Cricetulus griseus: one gene and its partner. The protein of the gene in region 2 purifies or fractionates together with the protein of the main gene of each other region. This does not show direct contact. Links are inferred from orthologs where the notes say so. Each region holds a gene or a part of one and is shown on either strand. Other genes may lie near its edges. The genes, in order: Trim31 and Nlrp3.

Region 1 (4,535 bases), on a different chromosome or scaffold from region 2:
GTGGATTCTATGATGGGGTCGGTGGGAGCCTCAGGGAAATAAATCCCTCAGGAAAGGAAAGTATCTGACTTTAATGTCCTTTCAGGGAGTGGAGGGGACAAAGGCCTCAGAGGAACCAGATATTAGGAGCTGTTAGGCCACAGCATAATACAGATTCTTAAGTCTCTTTCAGAGAGAGAGAGAGAGAGAGAGAGAGAGAGAGAGAGAGAGAGAGACTTACATCCAGTAGCTCCATGGGCGGTGCTTGTAACCTATTTTTTAGGGATCTTGAGAGCTTCCTGAGGGAAGTCAACTGCTCATTAGTCGCAGTGACATACTGTCCTATTTGCTTGGCTCCCTCGTGCTCCAGCCAGTCCAACCTGGACAGGAGGAATCTCTCTTCCTCTTCCAATCTCAGGTGCAGGTGTTTGAATTCTTCAAGGATCTTTAGTTTTTCTAGATGTATCTGGGCCTGGAGACAAAGGAAGGGATGCAAAGATGGGGGACGGGCATGAGAGAGGGTCCTCCAAGCTTCCTTTAAGCCCTTCATTCACTTTTTAAATCAACCATGAATGAATGAATGATCAGTCAGTTACGGGCAAAGTCTCACTATATAACCCTGGCTAGCCAGGAACTCAGTAAGTGCAACAGGTTGGCCTTCGATTCACAGAGATCCACCTGCCTCTGCCTCCTAAGTGCTGGGAATCAAAGGCACGTACCACCTGGCACTGTTCACTCTTTGGGAATATTTAAAGATTATGCTGAACAGCTTGCTGGGGGCATACCTGTGGGAAAGGGGGGTGGGGCAAGGAGATCAAAGCACTTCCTGTGCAAATTTAGGCTCTCTCTCTCTCTCTCTCTCTCTCTCTATATATATATATATATAATATATATATATATATATATATATTGCCTTCAAGTACATCAGCTGGATGAACAACTATGCAATCTTAACACTTGGAAAGTACAGACAGGAGATTCAGGAATCAGAGGCCAGCCTGAACTACTTGAGCCACTCTCTCAACAAACAACCTACCAACATCGCAATCGAAAACCCAGGATAAGATTGTAGTTCAATTGATAGGGTGCTTGCTTAGAATGCATCCTCAGCCCTGCATGATCTGGGCATGGCAATATAGACCTGCAGTAATCTGGACATGGTGATATAGCCCTGCAATTTCAGTACTGGGGGAAGGATGAAAGGATCAGAAGCTCAAGGCTCTTCTTTTCTGTATAACAATCTCTAGCTTATGCTACATAAGATACTGTGTCTAGGAGCTGGAGACACGGCTTGGTAAAGGAGTTTGTTGCTCCTGCAAAGGGCTCAGAGTCAATTCCCAGAACACACATGGTAGATCCCAACCATCCTAATTCCAATTCCAGGGATCCAATACCCTTTTCTGATCTCCATGCCAGGCATGCATCTGGTATACAAACAAAGCATTCACTCACATAAAATTAAATCTAAAGATAAATAAATAAATAAATATTCTTAAAAGTCGATGGAGGAAGAACACAGACAAAAGAAAGAGAGAAGGAAAGAAAGGAAGGAAGGAAGGAAGGAAGGAAGGAAGGAAGAAGCTTAACTGCCTTCATACTAAATGTTCCATGGATGTACAAAAACCAACCAATCAAACCACCAGGACCTGGAGAGATGGCTCAGGGGTTTAGAATGCGTCCAGAGGACCTGAATTCAGTCTCCAGCACCTAGGAAGAGCAGGTCACAAATGCCTGTAATTCCAGTGCCTTTGGTTTCTGCCAATATTTGCACACACATGGCTTTCACTCACACAGACACATGCATATGCACATAAATAAAAATAATAAAAAACAACCTTTTAAGAAAAGCAATCAAAGACAGGCAGAGACATTTTGTGGTGCCACAGTCTCTCCATCTTTTCTTACAGTGTAACCAGGCTGTAGTGAAAAGGGCTTGGGTGACGCAATGTGCGGGCAGTCCTTACAAAGCCCACTGTGGGTGGAGGAATAGGAGACCTCCTGGTTCCCTGGTGCAGCACCCGGGCAGGTAGATGAGTACAGCTCAGGCACCACACTCCCTGCCCCTCGACACTGATACCGTGTCAGCAGGTCTTTGTTCCGGCTTGGTGTATAAGGAATGCTAGGAGTTTCAACAGAGCTGCCTCAACTTCCTCAGAAGTGTTTGGAGTGAATATTTCTTACCCTGAACACCTGGATTGCCCCTTCACTTCGCTTTTTCTCTTCAATTATTTCTTTGTCCTTTTGGCCCAAATCCTGAATTTGTGACTCTATCAGCACCTGTGGGGAGAGGATACTTCAGTCAGGCTCTGCCTCTAGGAATGTCATTATTATCAGCCCCCTTTTTCTTTCCCATGGATCAAACAATTTTTTCCCTTGTACTATGTGGTCCTGAGGGCCAAACTTGGGTCCTCAGACTTGGTGGCAAGTGCCTTACACTCCGAGTTATCTCTCCTGCTCCCAAAGCACTATTCTGATTCTTCTTCTTCTTCTCACCTTGGTTACAGACTGGCATTTCCCAGAACTTGGCTCTTTGAGCCCACTGGGCCTGGCTACATATAGCCAATTCAAGTGCAGCGGTGAGTACCAACCAGCTGGCACAGGCAGCTGCTCCTATGTCCTCAGGGAGTTCTCCTCTGCTGGGCTGGGGATAGAGAAGGAGCCAGGTACCTACCTTGTAGTTCTGGTCAGCCTCATCTATCAAGGTGACATTGTGGGACTTATGGCTCCTGGAGTCACGGCACACCAGACAGAGGAACTCCCCGTCCTGCTCACAGAAGTAATGGAATTTTTCCTTGTGTTTAAGACATCTTTTCTCTTCCCCTTCTGGTTGGAATTCAGTGGGATCCATAGACCGGATTGTCTCTGCAAGACTAGCCAACTGCTTGTTGGGCCTGAACGTATCCTTACTCACAGTGACCTTGCAGAGGGGACACTGGAGGTTTTCTGTAGTTTTCCCAACCTGGATGATACATTGCTGGCAGAAGTTGTGCCCACAGTCAATGGTGACAGGATTCTGTAGGATCTCCAGGCAGATGGGGCAGGTCACCTCCTCCTGTAGTTTGTTTGCCATGAAGGAGCAGCAGGGCCAAATTGAAGTGTGAAAGCTCAGAAGTCTAAGGCAGGCACAGGTGCTGGGAAGAGAAAATGCAACAGGAAGCAGCCGTTAAAAAGTGTCACCACTGGAAGACCACAGAGAGACAAAATGAAGGGGGGGTAAAGCAAATGAACAGCAACAACACAAAAGTAAAACTTAAATGGGGAATATTGTAAAGAGAAAAGACAGGTAGTTGGACCATCCTACCTCACTGTCTCTCAAAAGCAAACAGATACTGTGAACTCATGCTTCCTGTAAAGCAGACCAAGGTTCCTGGACCTTGAACTAATTAAATAGATGTTTCCAAAGCAGTTGTCTGAGAACAAAAGAACCAAGTGTCAAAGTCTACTCAACTGCAGGTAGGGAGTGGAGCTGCTGACTGGCAGCCCCAGAAAGGTGGGGCTTATCTAACCCCATTGATCTCTTACTTCCCCCTCCTGTCTTCTATTGGGTTTCCTCACTGTCTCTGAGCCATCTTTTGTTCTGTTTGTCATGCCTGCTTCTTCCTCAGTCTCTGTTCACAGACCCCTAGCTTACTCAACCTGTTTCTTTTATCCTAACTAGGAAAGCATCAGCCAGTGTCATCCATGTAACCTTAGTAGCTCAACTCTTCACTTCTTAACAGTTCATCTTGCTCTTTGCTCCCAGGAACACAGTGTGTCTCCCTTCCTTTCCACTCCCCGTCCCACCAGCCCAGTCTCTCTTCTGTCATTAAAAACCAAACTTTCTTCCTCTCTGGTGGTGACCTCAACTCAGGATCTTTCTCTTGCTATGCAAGCTCTCTAGCACTGAGCAAAACCCCCAGCTCCTGTTAGGGCAATTTCAAAACGTCTGTCTTTATACTTGGTTCTTATTCATGCCCCTCCCACCCCGCCGCCGCCGCCCGCACCACATGACAGCCACTCATTCTTAATCATCCCTTTACTCCCCTAAGTTGGTCCTTCCTTCTACATCAGTGTACTCCGTTATGCCCTCTTAGTTCCACCACCCACTCATTCCCTCCCCCTTGTTCATGGTCTCCCAGCCCACTGATTGCTATTGAATATTTTTAATTAAAAATACTTTTATTTATTCATTGATAATTTCATATGTGTACAATTCTATCTTGATCCGTACCCCAATCACTCATCTTACTTGCCACTAATCCTTCCAACATGTCACTTTCCCAGTTCTATTCTCTCTTCATATATATTGTTTTTTGTTTGTTTGTTTCTTGTTTTTTGATTTCTCTGTGTAGCCCTGGCTGTCCTGGAGCTTGCTCTGTAAACCAGGCTGGCCTTGAACTCAAATCCATCTGCCTCTGCCTCCCGAGTGCTAGGATTAAAGGCGTGCGCCACCGACATGCAGCTATTTATATTTTTAATAGTTGTTTATTTTTATGTGTAAGAGTGTTCTTGACTGCATGTATATAATGTGCACCATGTGCATGCCCGGTTCCCATGGAGGCCAGAAAGGGGATTAG
Region 2 (3,813 bases):
TATTTAAATAAAGTAGAGCATAGAATGGGGTATATGAGATACACATCCCCACAACATTTTGGTGTGTTCTGATCTTGCCAGCCATTAGAATCTGTGATGAAATTTCCCAGTTTTCACCCAGAATCCTCATCCATGAAGGAATAAAATACAAAGCCTTTATTTTGCCACGAGGAAATAGTTCTTCTCAGTTCCTCTTCACCTTCCCCATCTAAAGCTTTCCCTACTTACCTCAGTCATTCAGCCTGCCCATTTATAACAGAATCAGCTATGTTCCTCCAAAGCTTTGTGTATCAGAGTTCAACCCCAGCAGCCCACAGTGTGTGACCATATTTGGAAATAGGCAACTTCAAATAGGTAATTAAACTGAATCCACAGTGTTGGCCCTAGTCTATTTAGACAGTATCAGACACAAGGAAAGGTTGTAAGAGTTTAGAACATGGACACACAGCTGGAATGTAATGCAAAGACTCGAGGAAGAAACACACACCATACACAAATGTGGAGACTCACCACAGTCTCTGAATGTTACAGCCTGGATGCCGGAGGGCCTCACACAGCACCCTCATACCAGGATCCCCCAGAGTATTGTCGCTAAGGTCCAGTTCAGTGAGGTTCTGGTTGGTGCTTAGACTGGAGAAGAGGTCTCGGCAGAAGCTAGACGTGAGATAGCAGTTTGCCAATCTAGAATGGCACAGAAGAAGGACAGAAAAGAACATGGTTTTCTAATGTTAACAAAGTGGAGCTCAGAGCAGGCTCCCGGCACCTATTCATAGAAAAGTCTCCTAGATGTCAAGCCACCAGTCATAAATGTTCATTCAGAGGGAAGCAGGCTGGTGAGCCTTGGGTAGAGAGAGGTTCCTTTTGAAATGCAACGAAGTAAACTTTAGGCTTACTACAAACACCCTCAGACACCTCCTTCCCACATTAGACAGCTGGTGTGCCCCTGGCCTGGACATGCAGCAGACTGGTCCAGGATGTCCAATTGTAAAGTCCCGAGCCATGCTGCAACCACAGAAGCAAAGTCAGAATCTTAAAAGCTAAACCCATCTACATTGGTAGTTTTCATTTTCACAGTCATTTCTAGGATTCACATTAGAATATCCCTTATGAGAGTTTCTTTGTATACATGCAGGACTAGCTTTGTGACTCTGAACCTCTGATGAGGATACCCACATAGCTAGTCCTCTTGGAAGGTTCTGTGATAAACCAAGAAAGCCTCTGCTCAGCAAGGAAAATGGCTGTTACCTAAAGTAAGAGATCCCAACTTCTCATCAAGGGTTTTAGCCTGAGTCTCTGCCTTTCTCAAGAGTGTGTGGTCCTAATCTGGCCTCTTAGCCTCTCTCTACTCCTTTAGGGCCCTAAGGAGCCAATCTGTCTTCTTCTATCTCGTCTCTCTTTCCATCTCCCACTGGCATCATCTAAATTTTCACCTACTCTTCAAAAATTCAGATTGGTACCCTAGTCTCAGAATGTTGGGATCAGGAGGTGAGGTTTTTGGAAGATGGTTGGTCATACGGCAAAACCTCATAGATAATAACAGTACCTTGTGAAAGAGACAAACAAGGAGTTGCTTCCCCTCCTCCCACCAAGTAAAAAGAAAAAATATGTGGGGTGCCCAATATTCAGTCTTCCCATCCTCCACAACTGTAACAAACAAACCTTTTATCTTCAAAAATAACCTAGTTTCAAGCATCCATTACAGCAGCATTGAAATAAAGAGGATTGAAGTAAGACAGTGAGCTAGAGCTATAGGCTACATCTCCATGCACTGCCGCAGTCCACCTGATACTTTGTGCTGCACTGATATTCTCCCAAAATGCTTATTTCTTAGTTTACTGGATTTTGTCCTCAACCCCAATTATCCACCTAGCAGGAGTCACTCTCTACCAATGAAAAGGTGGCAGTCACATTATCATGAAGCTGGGCAATTATATTTGGAACATCAGAGAGGAGAGGAATTAAGGACCAAGAAATGTAGCCAGAAAGCATAAGGTGCTGGCTACCATCTTCTTGGAGCCAAATGCCCTTACCTGGAAGAACAGGCAGAATAGGGCTCTTGGAAAGCACACGGGACCTGGTCCACCTGTCGAGTTCCCCCCTTGTCTTCGTCTTCTTCCTTGGGTGAGTTGTGGAGAAACCCCAGGGAAAGTGTTTTCACCCGATGACAGTTCTTGATACAAAACGAAGAAACCACATGGTCCATTCTGGTAGAGAGGTTGATCTCAATTTTGGGGAAGTGGTCCATGGCTCTCTGCACAAAGTCTTCCTCCTGCATCTCATACAAGCAGTAGAAGAGTTCCAGCTGACTGGGCTGTCTCTGCAGCTTCTTGGCCTTGGCTTTCACTTCAATCCATTTTAGCAGTTCCTGTCTGACTTGCTGAGAGATCTTGCAACTTAATTTCTTCTCCAAATAGGAGGTTCTCTCCTGGTTTACAAGGCCAAAGAGGAAACGGACAACAAAAATCAGATAGCCTTTTTCAAACTTGCCATAATTTTCTAGGAGGACCTTCACATCTCGGTTCAGAAGATCTGAACAACCTGCTGGTCCCTTCCTCATAGCTGTCCCCTCTTCTTCCTCTTCCAGCAAGTAGTACATAGCAGCAAAGAACTCCTGGAAGGTCATGTGGCTGAAGCTGTAGAATCTCTCACAGTCCACTTCCTTTTGGAACACGTTCATCCTCAGGAATGCAGAGACGTCTGCCATCTGCAGGCCATGTTTCCTCAGATCACACTCCTCAAATAGGATTTTCTGGTTCCAAATGCCATCTGCAGCCAGTGAGCAGAGCCCCTGTAGGTGGGAAGAGAAGAGGTGCTCCTCCATGTCCCCTCGGGATTGCAGCAGGCTGGAAAGGAAAAAGACATAGACAGCGGTAGTGGTCTTGGAGGTCTGGGCCAGGCTCTTTCCAGTCTCCATCTGCTGCTTCAGTCCTGTGCACACAATCCAGCAGACCAGGGGGATGAAGCACATGGTAAAAAGAATCTCATTCTCTTGGATCAACCTGAAGGCTTCCCTGGCCTGCAGCTCATCTGAGAAATACTTAAAGAAATACTCCTTCCTTTTGGCCTCAGAGAAACCTAGGATCTCTACATGGCGAGGGTGGTCCAGCAGATGCTGCAGCTTCTCCAAGGCTACCGGCCTCGTTGTAATGAGCAGAGAGGCCTTGGGCAGCAGCTTCTTTCGGATGAGGCTGCTCAGCAGAATGTCTCCCCTCACAGCCTTCTGCCAGTCTGTGCAGACCTCTCCAATGTGCTCATCAAAGGCTCCTTGCAGCTCATCAAAACCATCCATGAGGAAGAGGATCCTGGAGGGCTTGTGCAGGATCTTGCACACTGGTGGGTTTGAGTCAGGCCAGCAGCTGACAATCAGGTCTCCCAGACTCCTTGATGTTCTGAGGCTCACCTCTCGACAGTGGATAAAGAATACATAATCAAATTTGTCTTTGAAGAGCTTCCCAGATGCCCAGTCCAACATAATCTTCCTGGCTAGTATTGTTTTCCCAATGCCTGCTGCTCCCTGGAACACCACTGTGTGTACAGGCTCTGTGTTTTCATCCTCTGGATCAAACAGTGACCCCAGCTTAATGGAACTCATGCGGCTATCCCACATTTTGGTCCTGCCAATGCTCAGTAATTCATTCTCTCTCTCCTGCTTGCTCGGATGCTCCTTGACCAGTTGTAGCTGAGTGTAGCGTTTGTTGAGGTCCACACTCTCACCCAGACGTGCATTCCTATCTTTGATACAGTAGAACCTGCTTCTCACGTGTTTTCTGTACATCTTACAGTAATCTGCAACAGAGACAGGAAGGTAGAATT

The links.
Region 1: the proteins of Nlrp3 (region 2) and Trim31 purify together in Homo sapiens (affinity purification with western blotting; 3 studies listed by BioGRID). This does not show direct contact. The link is inferred for Cricetulus griseus from reciprocal best matches to the Homo sapiens genes NLRP3 and TRIM31.

The regions. Positions count from the first base shown.
Region 1 is NW_023276806.1:228,842,253-228,846,787, forward strand, and holds the start of Trim31 (E3 ubiquitin-protein ligase TRIM31), read right to left. Parts: upstream 3,050-4,535; coding exon 2,651-3,049; intron 2,257-2,650; coding exon 2,161-2,256; intron 452-2,160; coding exon 221-451; intron 1-220.
Region 2 is NC_048600.1:73,611,061-73,614,873, reverse strand, and holds part of Nlrp3 (NACHT, LRR and PYD domains-containing protein 3), read right to left. Parts: intron 3,787-3,813; coding exon 2,031-3,786; intron 682-2,030; coding exon 511-681; intron 1-510. UniProt on the Homo sapiens protein: Sensor component of the NLRP3 inflammasome, which mediates inflammasome activation in response to defects in membrane integrity, leading to secretion of inflammatory cytokines IL1B and IL18 and pyroptosis.